Medicago truncatula: one gene and its partners. The protein of the gene in region 1 interacts with the protein of each later gene in a biochemical or structural test. Links are inferred from orthologs where the notes say so. Each region holds a gene or a part of one and is shown in the gene's direction. Other genes may lie near its edges. The genes, in order: ethylene receptor, ethylene-insensitive protein 2 and serine/threonine-protein kinase CTR1.

The links.
Region 2: the proteins of ethylene receptor (region 1) and ethylene-insensitive protein 2 form a complex in vitro, tested with the Arabidopsis thaliana proteins (2 studies listed by BioGRID). The link is inferred for Medicago truncatula from reciprocal best matches to the Arabidopsis thaliana genes ETR1 and EIN2.
Region 3: the proteins of ethylene receptor (region 1) and serine/threonine-protein kinase CTR1 form a complex in vitro, tested with the Arabidopsis thaliana proteins (2 studies listed by BioGRID). The link is inferred for Medicago truncatula from reciprocal best matches to the Arabidopsis thaliana genes ETR1 and CTR1.

The regions. Positions count from the first base shown.
Region 1 is NC_053045.1:11,198,578-11,206,846, forward strand, and holds the start of ethylene receptor, read left to right. Parts: upstream 1-4,466; 5' UTR 4,467-4,620; intron 4,621-5,470; 5' UTR 5,471-5,513; coding exon 5,514-6,422; intron 6,423-6,534; coding exon 6,535-6,903; intron 6,904-7,018; coding exon 7,019-7,285; intron 7,286-7,387; coding exon 7,388-7,515; intron 7,516-7,670; coding exon 7,671-7,868; intron 7,869-8,269. UniProt on the Arabidopsis thaliana protein: Ethylene receptor related to bacterial two-component regulators. Acts as a redundant negative regulator of ethylene signaling.
Region 2 is NC_053048.1:47,791,127-47,800,006, reverse strand, and holds the start of ethylene-insensitive protein 2, read left to right. Parts: upstream 1-5,122; 5' UTR 5,123-5,352; intron 5,353-5,830; 5' UTR 5,831-6,301; coding exon 6,302-6,592; intron 6,593-7,257; coding exon 7,258-7,344; intron 7,345-7,461; coding exon 7,462-7,572; intron 7,573-7,645; coding exon 7,646-7,855; intron 7,856-8,880. UniProt on the Arabidopsis thaliana protein: Central factor in signaling pathways regulated by ethylene (ET) and involved in various processes including development, plant defense, senescence, nucleotide sugar flux, and tropisms.
Region 3 is NC_053042.1:30,651,405-30,659,669, reverse strand, and holds the start of serine/threonine-protein kinase CTR1, read left to right. Parts: upstream 1-4,390; 5' UTR 4,391-4,610; coding exon 4,611-5,171; intron 5,172-6,322; coding exon 6,323-6,624; intron 6,625-6,710; coding exon 6,711-6,855; intron 6,856-6,988; coding exon 6,989-7,092; intron 7,093-7,302; coding exon 7,303-7,511; intron 7,512-8,265. UniProt on the Arabidopsis thaliana protein: Acts as a negative regulator in the ethylene response pathway. Phosphorylates the cytosolic C-terminal domain of EIN2, preventing the signaling in the absence of ethylene.

The DNA.
Region 1 (8,269 bases):
TTTCTTCAATCAACAATAAATAACATGTTGAAAACATAAACTAACCTTCTTTCTTAAAGGATAAAATTGTAAAAACAATAGTGATTACAAACAACTTTAATACAAATATTCACTATCTTAATTCCCGTGATTTTGGCAAAAGGGTCTTATATATAAGGACGGAGGGAGTATAAGTTATGGTTCAACGCTTTCTAGGTCCAATGCATCTAAAGATCCTTTAAGTTTTTTTCGTTATTTTTAAAGTGGTCCTTTAAGTTTCAAAAATCCCAAACAAGTTTTTAAGTTTCAAAAGTCTCAAACAAGTCCTTTTAGTTTTTGAATCGTTTTAAACAAGTCCTTTTAAAGGATGATGGTGATGATTCAGATGATAGCAACAAAGAGCATTATCTGCCATTTACCATGCCTAAAAAGATGACTAGTTTTAAGTGGGTGTTAGGAGCCAGATTTGGTACCAAATATGAGTTCAAGGAAGCAATTACCAACTATGCTATCTACAATACGACTTGTTTGAAACGATCCAAAAATTAAAAGGATTTGTTTGGGACTTTTGAAACTTAAAGGACCACTTTGACAAAAACGAAAAATTTAAAGGACCTTTAGATGCATTTGACATTCTTTTTAAAACAAAAAAAGACAAACAAACAAAAAAACAAAAACATCAAGGTATATTCTCTATATATATATTTTTTTAAAGAAGTTAAATTAGTCCATCTAAATTGACATTGAGGAGAATCAAACTTAATTTAGTAGGCAGACAGCTTCCCGAGGGGTATGGCTTTTCACAAAAATGCATCCTATCCCGTTAGTTGTTAATTATGCTACTTCCAACTGTTTGGAGATGGTTTCCAGCTTGATTCCCAACAGTTTGTTGATCGCAAGCATATTTTATTGAAATGTTTGATTAGCTTGTTGCATACTTATTCGGTTTATTATATCATCAGTTAGGGTTAATAATCATTTTGGACCATGTTTTCAATGAGTACCTTGATTTCTTCCACAGTTTTGATCTTCATTGTTCCTCCGGGTGATGCGTCCAACAACATGGATGTTGTTGGGTTTCAACCTAGTTGTGAAGAATTGTATCATGTCTGAACATTACTGGGTTTGCAGGTTAGAACCCAAGAGATACTTCATCCAAGTTTTCCAGCCTCCCATAGTCTCGTAAAGTGATAGGTGGATTCTCGTCTCTCATTTCTGACTCGTTAGATAAATATTCTTGAATTGGAATGATTTCAGTGTGATTGGTCCTTTCTCTAGCAATTTGAGGAACTTTCATAAGTTCTATTTTCAGTTTTTTTTATGTCGGGATCTAGTAGCATAATACTTGAACGGTATGAAACAAACTAAACAAAGTTTTTAGTATGGCTGAATCACGGTAAATATTTTTGTAATGAAAGGACAAAAATAAAATAACTAAAATAAAAACAAATATAAATAAGTACAACAAATTGCCTCATTGAAAATATAAACACTACCAGCGGCGGTGCCAAAAATTTCTTGAAAAATTTCAGCAACCGTATCAAATCCTTACCAAGTAATAAAGTGATAAGTGAGTGTCGTATCAACAGGGATTGTCGTTCTAACTAGCACTAGTGAAGTAGTAACCTGATTTTGATTGCAGAATGTTAGCAGCGGTTAGGATTCTTTGAATCCCTCTATTCATATGTTGGATTAAAGTAACATATAGTTATTCAGGGATTGGTTAAATGATTCACACTTAAGTGACGAGTTCAAGGGGGGGGGACACCCCTCCAACTGTTGAGTTGCACCGGATCCACACGTGGGTTAAGGTGCTAGAAGAAGAAGAAAAAATCAGCGAAAATTAATCACCGCTAATTAACAACCGTCAGTTAATTTCCGCGGCAGTTAAATGCAGATGTGGCAAATATAGATATGCCACTGCTTCCATCTGTAGGACATACTTTGGCACATAGGCCACACCCTTCCCTTACTAAAAGTGATGTAAACCTGAAATAACATTTGAGTGACACAAGAAGAAGCAATGACAGCTGTTTTTTATTTTAGATGTATCTTGCACTCTAATACAGGTTTCGCTAGCATTTTTTTTTTTTTGGTTACAATTCGCTAGTATATTTTCTTATAGTAGTTAAACATTTAAATATAAGAAATTTCTCTGAAAAATATAATTTTTAAACTTTTTAAGAAATTTTCATTTTTTTACTATTTAGATCTAATTCAACTTCTTTTTTTTATATATAATAAAAAATTAAATTATGGGAGACACACAAAGTGCAAGATGTGAATGATAAGTTCAACTATCGATGTCATGTAAGTTGTAATTGGTGATTTTATTCAACTTCTAACATTGAAAATTAGGGTAAAGTTGTTTGATTATGGTCAAATATAAATTTTTGGACGAATTTCAGTACAAATATATTATTGGGATCATTAAGTTTTTAGTTCCTATAAACATTCACAGTTTTGTTTTTAGTCCCTACAAAATAAAATCACACTTTTAAGTCCTTATAAAATTTTCCATCATCATTTTTAGTCCCTATAAATTTTTCCATCAGCACTTTTAGTCCATGTAAAAAATTTCTATCAGCAATTTTGGTCCCTAAAATGCTTAAGAAAAATGTCACAGGGTCTAAACAATGTGATTTTATTTTGTAGGGACTAAAAACAAAACTGTGAATAATTACAAGGACTAAAAATTTAATTGAACCTATATTATTTTGGATTAATCAATGTTGGTGAACACAATCATACTCCTGAAGTTTGGTTGAATATGAACTTCTCTTTATATTAGTTAATTTAAACTAAATTCAAATGTTAAATAAAATTTACCTACACGTACAGGTATCCAACCAATTTTCAAAGCATCTAAAAATTTACCAATAATGTTTTTAAAAACAGTAAAAAATTAACTCACTTTCAAAAAAAACCTGAAAATTTGTGCAATATAGCATCGACTCTCACATCTAATGTGAGCCATACATACAATTTTGACATTTGCAATTCTTAATTTGACTTTAATATCATATTAATGAGTTTGAATCTCATTCTAAAATGTAATTTAAATGATCAGAGCGCTCGAACACATTTATACATCTAACACTCAACTCTAATAAATTCAACTTATAAGATGATCATTGTCCCTACTTAAAAAACAATGTTGCCTAAATGTGTTTTTTCTTTGTCGTGTTATTGATAGTACATTGTTTACGGGTAAGAGAATCCCTCATTCTCCCATATAACATACTCCCTCCGTCCTAATTTATAAGCAAAAAACAGTAATTCACACTTATTAAGAAAACTAACATTTAGTGATTTGAGGTATAATTTTTTGTGTTCTCCTTGGAATAAGTTTCATGGAAAGATGTAAAAATAATTCTCATTGGTTAAAAATTATGGAAAAAATAAAAAGGAGAACCAATTGAATGCAATTTGCATTTAATTTTACATTGGAAAAGATGATTTGTTTGAAAAAACATAATAATAGCATAAAAATTAGTCTTTTTTCTTATATTTTGAGACAAAAAATATGAGATTTTTTTGCTTATATTTTAGGACGGAGGGAGTAGTTTGCTTCTAAAAATAAAATTATAAAAACATGTTCGAGTCATATCTCATGTCACTTTTAAATTAATAACCAAAAAAAGTAGAAAAGGGCGACGATCAAATATAAGAATAAAATTGAAATCCATTTAGGTTGATCCGGTTGTGTTGGCTTAGGACCTTGAAGCATGCTCCTCGTCAAGGTCAAATTCGATTATCCTCTATACCAATTTGGATGGATTAATTTAATTTTTTCAAAACAAAAAATTAAAAATTGGACCACACAGAGTTTGTTCGATTATGCTCAATTTACTATCTTCCATTTATTAAAACAAAAAATAACAAAAATCTTGGAGTAGCATTTATTCTAGACCAGGATTTGCTGATATAGAAAAACACACAGTTTGGTGCTGTAATAAATCCCAACCGTTGATATCATATCAGACGGTTCAGATTGATAATTCTAATACTAAGCCATAGATCATTAGACACAAATTATAGCATTTAGTATTAATAGAATAGATGTGTACCTGATTTAATTAGTTGGTGGTTGACCATTAAGATCCTGTTAAATAAGCCATTAGAGAAAGGTTAGGGTTGAGAGAGTCTTCTGCCTCCTTGTTGATGATACATTCTTAATGTTTTCAACGTGTCCCAATGGAATAGTTAGATTATATACTCATCAGTGGAGGTAGGGACCACTCATTCAGGTTGACTAATAAGAACGATTCAACCCATCATTTTAATACAGTTTTTGTCGGTTTTGATATGTTACAATCCGGCTATTCCAAGCTAATTTGACTATTTGAGACTTTATGTAACATTATCAGAAAGTACAGTACATACCTAGATAGATATGTTTAGTTTTGTGTCTCCGTCATATGCGGTAACGTCCCTTTTCGACCCACCCAAATGCATTGAACTTGACTACCACATGCATTACTTTACTATTTATTTATTAGTATAAAACTATATAATTTAATTCAATACTTTTATTATTTTATACAACTTGTTCCTGCAACACTATTCGTTTCTTTTCCTGTCTCTTCCTTCAGTTTTCTTCCATTATTCTCTTGCAGATTATATTCATTTCATTTCCATGTAAGTTTCAAGATCACTCTTACCTTTTTTTTATTTTTTTTTAATCTTTTTTTCTATTTTATTTCTAAATTTATTTCACTATTCCACCTCCTCCTTAATTTGTTAATTTTTTTATATTATTTTATTAATTAATTTATACCCATAATTATATTTGATTCATCTATTTTTTTTGCAAATTTGTTTTAATTTTTATGAAGCATGTAATTATAATTAGTAAAGGCTAGAGTATTAGGAAGCTAAATTACATATACTAATTTGGTTCATGAAAGTGTTTAATTTTTAATCTTAATTATTTTCTAAGGTTGGGCAGCTCAAATGTTTTTGATAGCTGTATGAAATTAAGGGTGTTATGATTTTGGGGGGGTTTAGTTAGCAATGGGATAATGCTGCTGGATTTTGAGATTTTGATAATCTGTTTGTTGTTAATAATAGACACTGTTTTGGTTTTATGAGAATTAATTAATAAAAAGGTAAGCTTTTATTTTTATGGTAGTTCTTTGTGGTAATTGGGTGCAGAGGAAGACCATATTTTGAAGATTGTTTGTTTCTTTGACTTTGCTTTCTATGTTCATTTGAGATGAGATGAGATTGTCTTTACTGGTTTTTTAGTTCTATGGTCATGATTGTTTCGAGGGAATTCGTATTGATAATTGCATTAGCCAAGTGGTTAATGAGCTTTAGTAAAGGTCAAATTGATCGGGATTATACGAGTTCCAACTCTAGGTGGAACAATTCTTGATCAGACGTTACTTACATCTTGGTCAAACTCCGGATTACCGGGGGCTATTATTATTGTTTTTTAAGATCCATTTCCTGTGACTGATGCTTAAATTTTACGTCTTTAATGTAGTTATGTGATTACGGCCGAATTGGCTGAGTGGTTCAATTCAATCATGATGGAATCCTGCAATTGTATTGAGCCACAATGGCCAGCAGATGATTTATTGATGAAATACCAATACATATCAGATTTCTTCATTGCCCTTGCTTATTTCTCGATCCCACTCGAGCTTATCTACTTTGTTAAGAAATCTGCAGTATTTCCATATAGATGGGTCCTTGTTCAGTTTGGTGCCTTCATAGTTCTATGTGGAGCAACACATCTAATAAATTTATGGACCTTCACAATTCATACAAGAACCGTAGCAATTGTAATGACCACCGCCAAGGTTTTAACCGCTGTGGTATCGTGTGCCACTGCCCTTATGCTTGTACATATTATTCCCGATCTATTAAGTGTTAAAACTAGAGAATTATTTTTGAAGAACAAGGCTGCAGAGCTCGATAGAGAAATGGGCTTGATTCGTACACAGGAAGAAACTGGTCGACATGTTAGGATGTTGACTCATGAGATTAGAAGCACTCTTGATAGACATACAATACTGAAAACGACTCTTGTTGAACTTGGTAGAACTCTTGGGTTAGAGGAATGTGCGTTATGGATGCCGACACGTACCGGTTTGGAGCTTCAACTTTCTTACACATTGCGACAGCAGAACCCTGTTGGATATACAGTACCTATTAATCTTCCTGTGATCAACCATGTATTTAGTAGCAACCGTGCAGTTAAAATTTCATCGAATTGCCCAGTTGCTAGATTACGACCTCATGCTGCAAAATACATGCCTGGAGCAGTAGTTGCTATTCGGGTTCCTCTCCTAAATCTTTCTAATTTTCAAATATATGATTGGCCTGAGGTTTCAACTAGAAGCTATGCTTTGATGGTTTTGATGCTTCCATCTGATAGTGCTAGACAGTGGCATGTACATGAGTTAGAGCTCGTCGAGGTAGTTGCTGATCAGGTTAGTAATTCGCCATTTTATTCAGTTTCCTTTGTCCCGTATTTCTTTACATGTTGTTTGCTTCACTTTTATTTGACGGAAATTCTTTTACATGGACCTGTTTTTACACCAGGTAGCTGTTGCTCTTTCTCATGCTGCAATCTTAGAAGAGTCGATGAGGGCAAGGGATCAACTTATGGAGCAGAATGTTGCACTTGATATGGCAAGAAGAGAAGCAGAAACTGCGATTCATGCTCGCAATGACTTTTTGGCTGTTATGAATCACGAGATGAGAACTCCGATGCATGCAATTATTGCACTCTCTTCATTGATGCAGGAAACAGATCTGACTGCTGAGCAACGTCTAATGGTGGAAACAATACTGAAAAGCAGCAATTTATTAGCTACACTCGTCAACGATGTTTTGGATCTTTCACGGCTTGAAGATGGCAGTTTTCAACTTGAAATATCAACATTTAACCTTCATTCATTGTTTAGAGAGGTAAAATTTTCGCATAAATCCCGAAAAATTCAACTATATTAGTCTGACTAGTAGCTTATGATCTTTGAGTTTCTTCAAAAGCTTGATGTTGTTAGATTTGTTACTCTGATTGCAGGTCCTTAACTTGATTAAACCTGTTGCATCTGTTAAAAAGCTGTCACTCACTTTACATTTCGCATCAGATTTGCCGGTGCATGCAATTGGTGATGAAAAGCGTCTCATGCAAATTCTTCTCAATGTTGTTGGTAATGCTGTTAAGTTCACAAAAGAAGGCAGCATTTCCATCACCGTGGTTGTTGTAAAGCCTGAATCCTTCCGAGATATTAGATTTCCTGATTTCCTACCAGTACCAAGTGATAGCCACTTTTATTTGCGAGTACAGGTTTGTTTCGTCAAGCTTGATTAATTTTCTTCTGTTTTGGTATATTGTATCCTCTTTTATCTGATTTCGAAGGTGGAATATATATTTTTTTCCACATTATAGGTAAAAGATTCAGGATCAGGAATCAATCCACAAGACATCCCAAAGTTATTCACTAAGTTTGCACAAAACCAAACATTAGGAACAAAAAATCCTGTTGGAAGTGGGCTTGGCCTTGCAATTTGTAAAAGGTATTATATTCTTCTATAGTTACTGATATGAACATATTAATTTGTTTTCTATTCCTTGGGCTATAGTATATTTACAAAATTAGAATTTGCTCTCTTCAATATTGGTATTTATGATTTTCTATTGATTGCGTACGGTATCTTTAAATTGTGAGCAGGTTTGTGAATCTCATGGAAGGGCATATTTGGATTGAAAGTGAAGGTATTGGTAAAGGATGTACAGTCACTTTTATTGTAAAACTTGGAATCGCGGACCGACCAAATGAATTTAAACTACCTTACAAACCTAAAGCTTCAGTAAATCATGGATCTACAAACATTTCTGGTCTCAAAGTTCTCGTCATGGATGATAATGGGTCAGTAACAATATTTTCAGTACCTTCATTTTAGAAATTTGATACTATGTCACCTATTAGTTATTTGAGTATTCTGGTGATTTTATAGAAAAGTAAACATAGGCTGATTTCTTATGCTAAGCCCCTACTTTGGTCCCAATTATGTGCTTGAAAGCATGATATTACAATGCTGGTGTTGCTTGTTATTAGTCCAATGTTAGGTAAGTCTATATACATCAAGGTGTAGCTGCTAAAACTTTTAATTTTCAATCCTTAAAAGCAATGTTTAACAACTGAACTGAACATTGAACCGACAAAACCTCTTAGCCATAGTTCAACTACTTTAAACCGCTCGAACCAGAACAAAACCATGTTCGAATCGCTCAAATTACCAAACCGTAGAGAATGCTGGCTCACAGTTT
Region 2 (8,880 bases), on another chromosome or scaffold:
TTGGGTAAAAATTTAGAAAGATATACTTAATAAAGAAATGATATGATACATTTTTTTTTTTTTTTTAAGAAAGAAATGATATGATACATGTAATGTGATAAAATGACATAGAGAGAATTAATGTATTTAACATGTGTTTGAAAAACAATTTTATTTTTTAGCATTCGGGTTTCAAACCTCAGATTTTATATATATTATGCATTTTTCTTATCTATTGAACTAAGTTTATAGGGACTAATATGATATCATTGCTGTAATTTAAATCTTTACCGTTAGTTTTAATTATTTTTTAAGCAACTTTTAGTTTTAGTTAACAATACTTTTATTTTGTAAATAAATTAAATTACTTGGATTATAATTTTTTTTTGTTTTTTTTCCGTTCAAAACAACAAGAAAGTAAAAGTAAAAGAATATCACTTTCGATTCTTTCATGAAATAAGGTAGTAGTACAGGTGGCATTTAGGATGGATCAAAGCAATACTTTTTTACCATGGGAAACTCACATTTTTTTGACAGGTGGCTGTTTCACTTTGTTTAACAGGTTAGAATAAAAAATAATGATAAATTATTTAACTTATTTTAATGAGCTAGTTTTACACCTCCCAGCTGCCAAATGTTTTTGTTCTACACCCCTGTTTATTTGAGCGTGTATTTGACCCTTATGTCCTTTATCTTTTTTTCTTTTTTTTTTTTTGTTCCGAAATACCCATTTCTCTGGAATATAGATCTGCCACTTTTCTTTCACATTAATGTCTCACACAATCATCTTCTAGATCCTGGTATCATCTAACACAAACCAGTATCAAAATGTGTTGTTATCTTATTTCCTAAGTTCTATTATCTCCTCGCCATTTTTCTTCTGATAGATCCATAAATTCCTTCCTCTCTTACAACCTTTTTGGCCTTTCTCTTCTCTCACCAACACATAAATGGCATCTTCTTCTATGGGTTACTTATAAATGTTGATTCCGTTTTATGGTAGATGTGTAATTCACGTGTTTTTATTTTGAAGATACCACCAAGAGAGTGCTTGCTCCAATCTTCAGTTGTATTGTGCTTGATTATAAGAGGAGGATGATGTCGTTAAAGTCCTTGTGGTGGCACTCAAAAGTTTAATGGTTGTTTTGCTTTGGTAGTTTGAACATAATCTTCTTGCAATTTAGGTGTTCTTGGTTTGATGGAAAGATGTAGTTTGGCCTTTTTCAAAAACAAAATTGTCGTTTTTTTTCTTCTTCAATTTTGGATTTATAACATGAGTTCATCCTGGGTTCAATGCTACCTTGTTGTGCTCATTGTTATATTTATCTTCTGGGTTCATTTTCAAATTCATTTTAAAAAATAAATACAAATACAATAAAGGATTTTTTTTAAACAAATAATATAGACTGTCAGTTCAAAATATATCAATGGCAGAATAAATAACATTGGTAAAACTTTACCAAAAAATAATTGGTAAAATAAAATACACGCAACTCTTTCTTTCATGAAGGAAGTAACACAACTTAAAAACAAAATTATAGCTGTAAAAGAAATCGCTCAAAGAGCTTAATCATTTTATTTTAAGTAGCCTTGTAATTAACGAAAAATTTACTTTCATAACCCATTCTTAGCAAGAAAACTAGAAGCCCATATAGCAGCATTATAATAAAAAATATTACTTGTGGGGTCATCATTTTTGTTACAGGTCTGTTACAAAAAGTTGCTAATAGGTTGTAAGGAAAAAGTCTGATTGAATCTGAACCATTCAGTTAAAATAATAATATATCAATGATTAAAAATGGTACTATCTCATAATGGGAAAGTATTCTCCCTGTCCATCCTAAATGCCACCAGTAGTACATTGTAAACCATAGAACATATCACCACTTTATTCTTTCTTGATTCCCATATAGTTGATTTCTACCAAATTCTTCTCATTAATCAATATCACAAATTCCCAATATTACATGCACACAAAAAAAGTTAATTATTTGCTAAGCTTTCAAATATGGTAAAAAGTAAGCCTATGTATTCCCATTCCTAGCTAACTACACGACCACTTGCAATGTTTTTGATTATTGGTCCTTGAATTGAAATTTTTCCTTCAAGCATCATGTATGACTAGTTTTCACTTTTTCCATTCATAGAAAACCACATCTTGCAATGATGTCCAGTAATTAATTGATGGGACTTACCATACAACTTTTTTTTAAAAAAAGTTGTATAAATAATCATCATATCATGTTTACTAGATGAAACAGAAATTAATGTTGAGTGTAGAATATATATGAGCTGTGTTATTTAAACATCCTTATATGTGACAATCAAAATTTTATAAAGAAAATGAGGTAGTAACACAAAAATCAAAATAATAGAGAGAGAAAGTAAAAAGATAATGTGAGTATGAGGGAGAAAATTATCAAAAAAATTATAAAAAATAGTTATTCAAATATCATTTCTCAATATATACGGAAAGTGTGAGCATATACAACCTACTCCCGAGTTAAATTTAAAGTGATGATAGAATCATGTTCTTAGACTCTTGTAACAAGTTAATAAAGTTGAGATTAGGTAGAGAAAGTTGTGATTAAATCAAGTTTTTAATCTACTTTGTTATACTTTTTTTCATTCAAAACAATACTTTTAGTTTTTAAATATTTCAAGGTTTGTATGTTTAATTTTTTGAAATTTTGTAAACTGAAACAAGTTTTTGTCGTGGCACATTTAATATGGTTTTTATATGTGTTTAGTCCTTATAAATAGAGGTTATTTAAAAATTGATCATTGAATTCGTTAATCCTGCATTTTACACTGTCAAAATTTAATCATTTAAAATTCCATCTCTCTTCCAACTTAATCAGTAAACATCTAACGTGGCTCCATGACTCATCAAAGTATGGCCTAAAGTGACAAAAATACCCCTCCTACTATCAGAGCGAAGCGAAATGAAGAAACTACCCCTCATCACAACAATTTCTTATATCACCAAAACCAAATCAAATCAGAAAGAAAAGAAAAAAAAATCTTAGCTCACTCATATTGTAATTCATCTCTTAATCCTCTTTTTCCTCAATTTTTTTGTCTTGATTGAAACATCATTTGTCAGTCCTGACCACCAACAACATGAACATGAAGAATCCAACAAAACCAGGAAGCATAAGAATGAATAGAAATTCATGATACCTAATAGAAATCCAACAAAACCAGGAAGCATAAAAACAAATTTTTTTTGAATAAGTTTTTCTATGAGGTACTAGTAAGCAACCAAACTTCACGGCACTTAAAAATTCTCTTTTTTATAATGTTCTAAACATGATTATAAAAAATAATTTAACATATAAAAGCATATACATAAATTGACTTAAAAATAATGACCGAAATATTTAAAGTATTATTGTTTGAAGAAAACAATTAGAGGAACTAAAAACAAAATACGATATATTTATAGAATTTAAAAACTTATCTCACCTTATAAAAAAGTACAGCAATCTTGCTTCTTTGGTCTCCATGCGAGCAGTACCAACCAGCTATTAAGAAACACCCTATCCGTTGTGTTGACCCATTTGCTCCATCCTTCTTTGCAAACCAGAAAAGTACTCTACCAAATACTAGTACATGATATCGTAATTAGGAAGAATTATAGGTAATAAATAAAATCACAACTACATTGCTATTTATTATTATCAGACATTTCATAATCACAACTTCATTGCTATTTATTACTTGCAGACATTCATAGATTTGCTTGATAGTACAACTTGGTAAATACTCCAGCAAGGTTCTTATAAAAAAAAACTTGGTAAGGGCTGCCAACATGATATCTTTTCTTTCCCTAAATTAATAATATCTAAAATAAATCATACTTATTTTAAAAGATAGCTTTTTAAAACACAGAGAAAACTAGGATTAAGATTCTCTCAAATGGAAAAAAAACCTTGAAGAAATAATGTGGAAATATATAGCAATGAAATATAAAAGGGTAGTAAGATTTGAATTTGAAAAAGAAAGGAGAAAAGTCATTTCAGAGTTGAGATATGAAAATTGAGAAAACATAATTTATCGGATTGTAAAATTTATTTTTACAATCTAAAATAAATCAGACCAAATTTATGGTTCACATTTGAGATAAATTTTGCACTATGCAAAAGCTTATATTCTCTTGAATCAACAAATCTCTTTGTTAAATCAAATATGATATGATTTATTGATTAAATGCTGAAAAATAAAGTTGTGTACGGTGTAAAACTAATTTAGGGGTGCACATTAGATAAAGCCAATGAATCATACTTATTTTAAAAGATAACATTTTAAAAACGGTTTGATAAAACGACTTTAAATTAAAATAAAAAACTTGAAAAATATACACATTGTCGGGACAAGTTGGTTTTATATTAAATGAGAAATATAAGCACTAGCATTCAAAATATATAAACTGTCTATGTGTATCTCTATTAAACTAAACAAATTACACAGAAAAAAGAATAAACAATTATTTTGATACTTAAATGTATGAGGCAATGCCATTTTAAGCTTCAAATATATCAAAGTATAATCTCGTAAACATATCTGAGTTAAATGTTATTATTATTAAGATTAGAAATCTCTTAAATTCTTCTGATAACTTTGAGTTTAAGTCTACCCAACAACAAATAAATATGGTTGTCCTTATTCTTGTTAAGGCAACCATTTTCCATAATAGTCGTTATGCTTATGGTCCTTCTTATAACCAACTTTATTTAATAAATGAGTTCAATTTTGGTCGTTAAAAGAAAAAAGTCATTGCACTGAGTATAAGCACCAAAATGCATGTTTACCCCAAGACAAAGACACCAATGACTTGGCCAAAAATGAAAGTTTAAAGTGGATTTCTTTCATCGATTATAATTCACATCAATATCATCAAATTATATATATATGTAATATAAATTTGACGTATTGAGAAGACTTCGATGTAAATTTTAACCAATCAAATAAAATGCGATAGAAAATAGTATAAAGAAAAAGGATATCTGTCTTTATTCAAGCTTTCTACCCTCCTTTTAGCACTTGAACATGAACACACACATGTACATATTACACTTTCACTTTCTCTCTCTTCTTCTTAAAACCCCAACCCATACAGAATATTTTCATTATTTATATAACTCCCTTCATCCTTATGCTCTCTCTCTCTCTCTCTCTCTCTCTCTCTCTTTTTTGATAGTACAACACATAAAATAATATTAAACTATAGTATCATCAATCAATTATCAAAAACTCTTAAAAATCATTATCATACCCCATAGTTCCATCAAAGTTTTATTGTTCTAAGATCTACTTCGCAGAAACAAGAGATTATAGTAGCAGAAGAAATCACAGAACCCTAATTCTACGGTAATCAAATTCATAATCAACCTTGGAATTTGTGCAAATGTTCTTCACCACCTGCATCAGATCCACGCTTTCATTTTTCATTGCTTGTTATTGTTATTGTTTCACTGTGTAGGGTTAAGGGTTTTACTTTTGTTTACTCAATTATCTTTCGCCACTTGTCTTAATTTTTCAATTTTCAACACTTTTTTTTTATCTACTGTAAGATATTTTCTTTGGCTCTGATTCTCATGTTTTTTTATTTTTTATAAAGTCGGTTTATTTTTTATTTCATTATTAAGATTTGTTGTTTTCTTTTTGCTTACACTTGCTTCGGTTAAACTCAAAAAGTATAAGTTATTTTTTTTTTGATTTCATAAATTCATAGCATTAATTGTTGTAATCTAATTGGGATAATTATAACTATTGATTCTTTAATGCTGATAGTATTAATCTGTTTTGATACTGATGTTGTCATATTCATCAATTTGATTGATTGCAGGATTTCAAAATTGATTGGTTTTTCCAAAAGATCGTTACTTGGACTATAATTGAGGATCATCATAGCTCTGTGAAAAGGGTTGATATCAATTTTGATTGAAACTGTTAATTGGGGTGTTGTGAATTTTGTGTGATGGGACATAGGTTGACTTGATTGAAAATATCAGATTTGTATCGTATAATCATAGTTAACAGTTGATTTTGTTATTGGCTGGTGATAGGATGCTGGTATAGGGATATGCTTTGTGTGAAATTGTTTGCAAATCCTTTCGAGTTTTATAAGTTGACTTAATTATAGTTTCAATTGGAGCAGCTTATTTTTCAAAGATTGGCTTGTAATATATAGTCTTTCGATAGAAATATAGTTGAGATAGTTGTATAATTATTTATTGGTCATTGAAAGTTTTAGCTACTTCGAAGTGTTTGTTGTATTTTTCTGGGAGTTGTAATTGGGGCTGTATCATCGTGGAAAATGGAAACAGAGGCATTGAGTTCTGAACAGACGAAGAGTAAAATGGAGGCAGAGACATTGAGTACTAATCCCCCTCCTGGTTTTCTTATTCGCGCACTTCCGGCTGTTATACCCGCGCTTTTGATTTCGATAGGATATGTTGACCCTGGAAAGTGGGTGGCAAGTATAGAAGGTGGTGCGAGGTTTGGTTTTGATCTGGTGGCTTTTGCGCTAATTTTCAATTTTGCCGCTATCTTCTGTCAGTACTTATCCGCAAGGGTTGGTGTAATCACTGGACGAGATCTTGCTCAGGTATCATGTCATTCACTTTAGGGTTGATAAATTACACCGATCATGTAGTAAGATTGTTATGTTTGAAAAGCTCTTGAACTCTGAACTGCTTTAACCCCTGTCCCCGAATAAAACCTATCTGTTTTATTTTCATCAATTTTTCGAGTTATATTATACTATTTAATGTAGCAACTTGCTATTGAGAAGAAGTCGTCACGTATCAGGAAGAAATGAACCTTAAAAATTATTTGTTGTTCATATTGATCTTCTGTCTGTGCATTTTGTTAATCTAATTGAGTTTTGACAGACTAAATTTGGAAGTTTATATGAAACTGGAAATTGCATTGTTACTTTGATATTTTTTTCTTTTCTTTTTCCATCTTAAAAGTATATCCTGTTCCTCCCCATGTTTCTTTCTCATGCTCCCAGTGTTTTTTTTTCTTACCCCGCTAACACTAGTTCAATTGTGGCGGTTGTGAATTGTGAGCCAGATTGAGTGGTTTTCTCTTCAATTTGCTTATTTAATTGTTATTGAGCCTATTGCGGGTTTTTGTCTTTTCTCTATTTCTTCTTCAATCTCATGTAGAAAATATGATGTTTACATGAGCAAGCTCAGATAGAATTTGATAAATGCACTTGGTTTGTATGCTTTGTTTATATACTAATTTCTCATTTTTTAACTAAAGATTTGCAGTGATGAATATGATACATGGACATGCCTTCTCCTTGGAATTCAAGCAGAACTGTCCGTGATTATGCTAGATCTTAACATGGTAATTCTCTTGCTCTTGATTAACGTTAAATATCCTGTGAATTTGATTTACACATGGTCATCTGCTATTTTTCAAATTTGTTTTGACTTGAAACTGTGGTTTAAACTGTTTTGCAAGATCTTGGGCATGGCACAAGGATTAAATCTTATTTTTGGGTGGGACTTGTTCACCTGTGTCTTTTTAACTGCCACTGGTGCTGTTTTTCATATTCTTCTTGCTATCCTCTTGGTAAGTATCACTCTTCACTTATTCACCATACCTTGTTGATCAACACTAGACTTATTATATTGCCTTTGCGTAGGACATTGAGAAGACAAAATTCCTAGGACAGTTTGTGGCAGGCTTTGTATTACTTTCTTTTATACTTGGAGTATTCATCCAATCCGAAGTTCCAGTTTCCATGAATGGAATACTAATAAATTTAAGCGGGGAGAGTACATTTATGCTGATGAGTCTTCTCGGAGCAACTCTTGTGCCTCACAACTTTTACCTTCATTCTTCTATTGTACAGGTATTCTTTCCTCTCATTCTCAATTTTCGTTCATGAAAATGTACTGAAATGTCCGTGTCTATGGCAAGCTTCCAAGAAAATATCTTTTATTTGTGTGTGGGTTTATTTGCACCTCATCTTCTGCTTGTTTGTAAAGATGAAACGTCTGACTGTTGTATAAATTACCAGATTTGCATGGGCGATTGCCTTACTGCTGGAGTTTTTTTTTTTTTTAATGAATATTTTGATCAAATCATTAGAGTCAGGTTAAAAGAGGTAGAGGAAGACCTAAGAAAACCATTCGAGAAACCATTAGAAAAGATTTAGAGGTCAATGAGTTGGATCCAAATATGGTTTTTGATAGAACACTATGGCGTCATTTGATCTATGTAGCCGACTCCACTTAGTGGGATAAGGCTTGGTTGTTGTTGTATTTTGATCAAATCGATAAGGATTGACTACTACTGGTCATTAGTTTTTTCTTTTTTCCAGAAAGCTAAACTTTGTAATCACTTATTATTCTAACTTGGTTTTATGTACTTGTTTCAAAAATCTTGTATAGTGAGTGGTTCTTTTGATTTTGTCTCGCTATAATTATATCACCAGATCCTCGTTTTGTCTAATAACATTTGAATATTATTTGTGCACTTGCATAATTGAATGGTCAAGACCAAAATAAAAGATGCTTAAAATTCTTTTTTTTTTTAGAAAGCCATACGATACAAGTAAATTATGGTACCCTTTTACTTCTCTCAAGTATGGTTTTAGTAATTGTGTGTTGTTGGTATTAATGGATGACTGGAAATTGGCTCGATGACAGGCATGAACCATGAACAATTCTAAAATGGAATTCCATGCAGAAGATAAAATTAGTATTATTTTAGATATTTTTGTTAGTGGAGATGTATCTTTCAATTGTAGGCTAGTATTTGTTTGAACTAGTACCTGTTGTTATCCAATAGTTATGACGGGTCTTCAATAAATATTTAATAGGATTTTTAGATTCATGCCTATCAATTCTCTTACTACCAGGATGTTCATCATTA
Region 3 (8,265 bases), on another chromosome or scaffold:
TTCTCCAAACAAGGAATGAATTTCAAATTATTCCTTCCTATGACATTAACCAAATCAAGCAACAAATCATTGGTGATTTGATCAAGCTTCGGTAACGACTCTTTTATGTGCTAACATCCTCTCAACGTCTCTTTCACACCTCTATATATAAAGAAGTGAAGACTCTACAATGTTTTGATAGTATCAAAACTCTGCTGAAATTTTTGTGCATCAAAACTTAGAATTTCTATAAACTTTTATATCTTATAAATTCTAGAGTCTTAATAAGAGTCTTATCTGATTTGTATTGTGAACACCACTGATTGTATATCAAGTGTTCAAACCAAACATCTTTATATGTAATTTTGTTTGTTTATAAGTCTCTTGCTTTTGTGCTTGAGCATAGAAAATCTCTTGCATGTGCGCTTGAGTATTTGAAGTCTCTTGCTTGTGTGTTTGAGCATTTGTAATCAAATATTGATTTTCGTGAACTCTCTTTGGAAGTGCAAGAGGGACAGAACTACTTCCAGATTGTGGAAGGAACTTGTATAATTGCTTGTGTCTTTATCTTATTTCTCTCTATCTATACATTATTCGCTGCATTAGACTCTGAACAATGTTCTACTTCTGAAGTGATGTTCAGAACTAGATTGCAGCGGATAAAACAGAGAGAAAGAGAAGAAAGATACAAAGCAATTATACAGGTTCCTTCCACAAACCGGAAGTCAGTCCTGTCCCCCTTGCACTTCCAAGGAGAGTTCACTAAAATGTAATATCTGATCACAACTGCTCACTGCTAAAACTAGCAAGAGACTTCAAACTACTTAAGCACAACTTACAAGAGATTTTCTATGCTCCTTAGCACAATCAAGAGACTTCTTATGCTCAAGCACAACTGCAAGAGACTTCTATTCAAACAGAATTACAAAGAAAATTGTTTGAGGTTGAACACTTGATATACAATCAATGGTGTTCACAGTACAAATCAGATACAGACTCTTAAGACTCTATAATTTCTAAGATATGAACTTTGATAAGAAATTCTGAGTGAACTTTTGATGGAGAACAATTTCAGCAGAGTTTTGGCACTTGTAAATTGTTGTTTAGTCCTTGCCATTCTCTAAGTCTTCACTCCTTTATATAGAGGTGTGAAAAAGACGTTGTGAATTTCCAGCACATCAAAATATAGTCGTTTGAAGCTTTGATCAATCACCAATGATCTTTTGCCGGATATGGTTATTGTCCTATGAATGATCAATTTCAAATCCATTCCAAGTATGAAGGAACATTGTTGCAGGCATAGCTGTTATTCTTGTCTTGTAGCAGAGACACATACTAAGTAGTGGAGGTAGTGGTTGTACACTTCGTACAATTGTACTTTGTCATCACTCTTCAAAAAGCAAGAATCCAATGCCTTCAACTTCATTTGAATTAATTGTTGCTTCACTCTCCTGGTCTTCTGCAATGCTCAAACGAGATTGAATCCATATAACAGCCTTTGAAGCTTTAAGTCTCCCATCTTCTGATGAACTTTAGCTTCTGGTGATCTTCAGTTTCTGATGAACTTGCTTCTGATGATGTCATCACTTCATGAGCACTTGACTTCAGGAGCACTTTTCTTCATACGCTTCAAGCTTCCCTTATGTTGATTCCATAGCTCTTAATTTGTTCTTCCAGAACCTACAAAAATATTTAACCTTGCATATGGTCCTGCACACTTGAACAAATATTAGCATATCCAATTGACAATTTTTAATACCTTGTTATCATCAAAACTCTCAAAGGGTAATGTTAAACACATTTTGTTCCAACAAGATATGGGTTGAAAAGATTGACTACTTATTAGGCATTACTATTAAAAAAAGGAGAATGTTAACCATTGTCATTGTGACATTGGTTAAAGTACTTAAATAAGTAAGTTTGCATCGAAAAGTGATGTAATGATTGATAAGAAAAAAGTAAAGATTTGTATTTTCAAGAGAAAGTTTCTATTAATGAGATTTTTAACCATTGCCCTTAGGACAATGGTTAGCAAGACCCTTAATTTTTTTTTTTATAAATGAGTGATATCTACACATGAGATCCATTTAAGTACCAAAAAATGAGTGTCTTCTTTATGGATGCTTTTTTGGGTTCTGTTTTTTTTTCTTCTTTTTCTTAAGAATAAAAAATGGAATATATTAACAACGGCGATGATTCTTATTTAGCACAAGGTGTACTAAAGAAGCAACCCCAAAGGGCAAACAATCACAGTATAATTACAATAAACAGGTTAGTCGATACCCAAACAAAGTAACGGGTCTGACCACCATCTAATCGTGCCATAAACAAACGTGACATTGTTAGCTTTAAGCCACAAAAAGAAATCCTGCTTAACCTTTTCCAGAAGACCTATAATATTAGTTTGGATATTCTTAAATATTCTATTATTTCGTTCATTCCAAATTATCCACACACAATAACCAAAACATCTATATTGTTTAGGTTATGTTAACTTGTGTCCTTAAGACACATGTTAAACACTCCAATAATGGTAAGAATTTCTTGGAAAAATTAATATTAAACCTTTCGAACAATAAATTAACACAATTTTCAATACATAATTTTTATCAATATAATTTTTAACATATGTCATAACAACATAAATTAACATTTTTTTTTTCTTCATCGAAGGAATTTCATCACGAAATCCAAACCGCTATGAACCTGGCCGTATATCACCATCACTAGCAGCCACCAAACCAAACTAAAGTTCATGTTCTATTTTTACCCGTACAAGAAGGGTCACATGCGAAAGCTGAAATAAAAATATGCTAAATTCAACTTCGCCCACAACTATATCCATATCTGTTTAAAGGCGTGTGTAATCTGAACTCACTGCAAAGTTGTTATGACAACATACATTAAAGTAAGGCTGGTCAAGTACAAATTAGAAAAATCCAACTTGTAATTAGATTCTTATTTTTAAATCATTCATTTCTATTCTTAATCAATTCAATCCAACTTGCATATTAAAAAATTTGTAATTATTTTTTTCTACTATTATCATCCAAAAACAAAAAGTCATATTTTTATATTATTAAAAAAATACCACCAGGTGAATTGAACCGGCCAACGTGTGAACCAAATACCGCTTTGCCCACCGAAAATAATAAAGGGAAATGTTAACTAACCAATGCCCTTGAACTTTAGATAGTAACTTTTATAAAAGTTTGTGTAATGAGTGTATTGGAAATTAAAAACTTTTTAATTTTAAAAGAATAATTACTTTATTTAGTATGTTTAAAGAGTATTTCAGAGACACTCATTAACAAGACCCAATAATAAATTACAATCGAACATCATTTTTTTACACAGACATATATTCCGATTATTACTATAAATAAAAATCTTCTCCTACTTTTTTGAAACACATTTTAGTAAATATTTAGATCAAATATATTATTTATTTAATGAATTTAAAAAATGGTTTTATAATAGTGACCGAAAGATGTAAAGATCAATTTATTTATGTTATTGTAAATCAATTGACAAGGAAATCACAATACACACGATCAATATTCACACTTTGAATTCTTCATTCTCGAGAGTGAAATTTCAACCATTTTGACTACTTGATAAAAAAAAGATACCGATTAATCATGTTGAAAAATATGATTAACTTTGTTAAGTAAATTAATTTATAATTAGAATTGTGGTTAGTTCAATTACATAATTAACTAAAATTTTACGAATTCTATCATGATCGAAATTAAACATATACCATTCTCGTGAGTTTATCTAAGTGACTTTGATTTTTCATAATATATGCAAAGGGGAGGTTCAAATTTCATATATTCCACTTATTTATCTCAAGAGATTAATTCTTAACAAACAAACTACTTAAAAAAGATATATATTTAACCAAATCACAACTTCGATTATGATTAGGCTAAAATATGGTTTTGGTCCTGCAAATATGCTTCGTTTTTGTTTTAGTCTCTGTAAATTTTTTTTGTTGTGACTATTTTCAAAAACAAAATATTTTGCAAGGACCTTTTTAAAAATCAAAATATTTTGCGGGGACTATTTTTCTAAATATGGGTTCAATCATCATGTGTCACGTGCGTAAATCATCACAAAAGTGGAGTCAGAGATCAAAACCAAAACGAGACATATTTGCAGGACCAAAAACAACAAAAAAAATTTATAGAGATTAAAACCAAAACGAAACATATTTGCAGGAAAATCCATACTTTAGCCTTATGATTAATATGAACTCGAAGTTCCACAATTAAAAAAACTCAAAATTGTTGAGAAAAATACACAATAAAAAAAACTCGAAATTGTAGACAAAATTGAGTGATATGTATGAAACATTTTTGGAAAAGAAATACCAAAACTTTTGAAAATAATTTAATTTACGATAGCGCCACCGAATTAAACAAAGAAAAAACTTCGTCACTTTGATTTCTCTCTCCCCGGAACTCAGAGAGAGAAATTTCATTCATTCCACCATTCACACTTAACAGTTACCAGATTCTAGAAAGAGAAAAAGGAAAACGAAGAATAACGTAACAGAAACTTCAACGAAGAACAACAATGAAGATTTTTAGGGTTTTATAACTAAACCAAAACGGTGATTGATTTCAATGGAAATGCCTGCTAGAAGATCTAATTACTCGATTCTAAGTCAAGTTCCCGACGATCAATTCTCCTACGCCGCCAGCGCTAGTGCTCCGGCACCGTCGTCGTCGAGCGACGGAAAAGCTAGTAGAGGCGGTTGGGAGTTAGTCGGCGATCATCGGCAAGGGAACAATCGGATCGGGAATTTGAATTTGTATTCATCGATCGGATTACAGCGGCAGTCGAGTGGAAGTAGTTACGGCGAAAGTTCGTTAGCCAGCGGCGGTGATTATTATGCGCAGAATCTGTCGGCGGTGGCGGCTAGTGAGGTTGATGCGTTTGGTTATTTGCATGAGGTTGGTGAGGTGAGGGGGAAGTTGGCGGAAAGTGCGGCGTGGAACGGGGGATCGTCTGGTAAGAGCTGGGCGCAGCAGACGGAGGAGAGTTATCAGTTGCAGCTTGCGCTGGCTTTGAGGTTATCGTCGGATGCTACTTGTGCTGATGATCCGAATTTTCTGGATCCGGTGCCAGATGACGCGGCTTCGAGGCTTTCGGCATCGGCTGAGGCTGTTTCGCATCGATTTTGGGTATGTTGTTTGTTGTACCTTGATTGTGTTGCTTTGAATTGTGATTTTTGATTCTGGTAATGGCTTTGACTGTGAATGTGACTACGAAGCATTGACACACACAGACACGGTAATAATCTGAGAAAATGAATTAATTGAATGTAATTACACGCATCAGTGTCATGGTGGTGTCGGACACCGGACATGCCTTTCATCAGAGTTGTCAGTGCTATAGAGGATTGTGAATTGTGATAACTAATGAAAATAAGGACAAGGTGTGTGAATGACTATGGATATATTTTGACTATGGGTGTACTGTGGTTACTTGTGTATATAAGCCAAATTAAGGCAATGCTGTGTAGCGTCGTATATGCTGAATTTATATAGGGCTGAATTTATATAGGTTTGTCGGCTTCTCTGTTATGTGTCAACGGGATGACCGAATTTTCGGTTGACGGCGACAAATTTGGAGGACAAAGTTTCTGTAGTTCATTTAGGATGCAGTTGACTTGAATGGATGGGATTTGGTTTAGTATAAAATCTTCTTAAGAAGTTGTGTTTTGTTTGTTATATGGTATAGAGTTGAATTTTGAATTACAGTGTTGAAGTCTAATAGGAGTTTTCTGGATATTAGGGTTCTATTTTTCAATATTTTTTTGGTGCTAGTTCATTGGGAAAACCATTTGTCACTAGCTATCACATTGATTGAGGAAACTATCTCATGCAGTCTCAGTTTTCACATTTGATTGGCACTTTGCTGGGAGTTCTGGAAAGAATGGTTTTCAGTATTCTATTACTGTCTGACTTAAATGCTATGATCATATTTCTCATTCTTGAATTGACTTTTTTTTTTTTTTTTTATCTCTAAATAAATGTGTATCTTATTTTTACACTGCATAAAAAATCAACATTGGAAAATATGATGTTTGTGGAGTCAAACCGACACATCTTGAAAATGCTAATTAATATTTTAACAATGTTGCTTTGAGTAGAACGTGCGTTGCGTATAATCATCATTTATTGAGTGAAAAACTAGACCTCCTCTCTTTGTTTTACCCGACCACTGAAATTTGAGGGTGGAAACTGTAACTTGTTTCATCTTGATAGACTTGATGCTCTTATTGTTAGATATGTGAAAGTTGATTTTGTATCTTATTTATAATGTACACCAGGTGAATGGCTGCCTATCATACTCCGACAAAATTCCTGATGGCTTTTATCTGATTCATGGGATGGATTCCTATGTATGGACTGTGTGCACTGATCTGCAGGAAAACAGCCGAATCCCATCAGTTGATACTCTAAAGTCTGTACATCCCCGCATTGATTCTTCCCTTGATGTAGTTTTGGTGGATCGGCGCAGTGATGCCAGCTTGAGAGAACTGCAAAACATGGTTCATAACATCTCTTGTAGCAGCATAACAACAACAGAGGTTGTGGATCAGCTTTCCAAGCTGGTTTGCAACTGTATGGGGTGAGCCTTCTTGGCATTCATGGCCCGACCTATTTAGCTTTTTATCCGGTCATGTCAGTCTAACTGTGTTTTATTGCTATAACAAGGGGTTCAGCTTCTGCTGGGGAGGATGAGTTTCTATCTTTTTGGAGGGATTGCAGCAATAATCTGAAAGATTGCTTAGGATCTGTTGTTTTTCCCATAGGTAGTCTATCTGTTGGTCTCTGCAGGCATCGCGCCATATTATTCAAAGTAAGGCTCCACTTCTCTGTCGGGGTTTAAGGTTGTGATTACACATGCTGACTATGTTGACGAGTTTTTGTTCACCGGAGGTGGATTGTATTTAAGCAATTCTGAATAACTTGTTATATATTTATTATTTTAGGTGCTAGCTGATGCTATTGATTTACCATGTCGAATTGCAAAGGGCTGTAAATATTGTAAAAGAGATGACGCTTCTTCTTGTCTTGTTCGATTTGGGCTTGACAGGTATACGCTTTATTTTCCAAGCATACATACCTTTCTGTTTATAAGTTTATCTGCAATTTCATTAGCTATATATAACGATCATGGAATGGAAAATTTTAAAAGGACTGGAGATCAATGGTTAACATAATGTATATCGACATTGACATTTTAAATAGATTTTCATTAGAGTAATATTCCTGTCACCTCACCTCTTACATAATCTAATGTCAGGGAATATCTTGTTGATTTAATTGGGAAGCCAGGACACTTATCCGAGCCTGATTCCTTGCTCAATGGTCCATCTTCCATCTCATTTTGTTCACCCTTGCGCTTTCCAAGACTTAAGCCAGCTGAAACTACAATTGATTTCAGGTCACTAGCCAAACAGTATTTCTCAGACTGTCTGTCTCTTGAGCTTTTCTTCGACAACAGTTCAGCAGGTAATATTCAGATATTTTGGTTAAATTTGTGCTATTCTAAATCTTGGCTTCTGGTCTCTAGAAGGATCTACTTGGAGCATATTGTTGCATTTATCAAGAATTTGAGATCCAGGCCTCCCAGTTCCTTTTTTTCTCCCCCAACTTTTTAACGAGTGATAAAAACTTCTTCCATAAGCAAGTTACTTTCAAATAAGATTGTGGCTTCACTTATAGAAAAATCCCTATAAGTTTATAAGTGTTTACGAAGAAGTTAAATGAGACAATTTCTGAAAAATATTTAAAGCAGAAGCTAATTCCATTTTCCATAAGTTCTTACGGAGAAATTTATACAAATCAGCTCTTAGTCTCTTTGCATATTTAAATTTGAGTTTATGTGTGTGTGTCTATATATATATATATATATATATATATATTGGAGCTATTAAGAAAAACTTACAGGTCAATTGTTTGGCTAGAATATGATTTATAATAGAATCTTATTGCATTGTTACTTAGTGGGATAATGCTTGGTTGTTGAGTATGCGCTTTTGAGCTGTTGATCTAATGTTTGATAAATTTGCGAGTTCATAAAATCAGGCCCTTCTTATAAATGTTCGTTTTGCAAGTCAAGTAATTGTAATTTTGCACTTGATCATGTAATATGATATGCAATTATGTGTATATGATTGTAAAGTTATAATTAAATGTTTGAATTGGGTGCTAGTATAGGATACCCTGAATTTGATATCACAGAAACTTTTTCTAATCAGAGTTT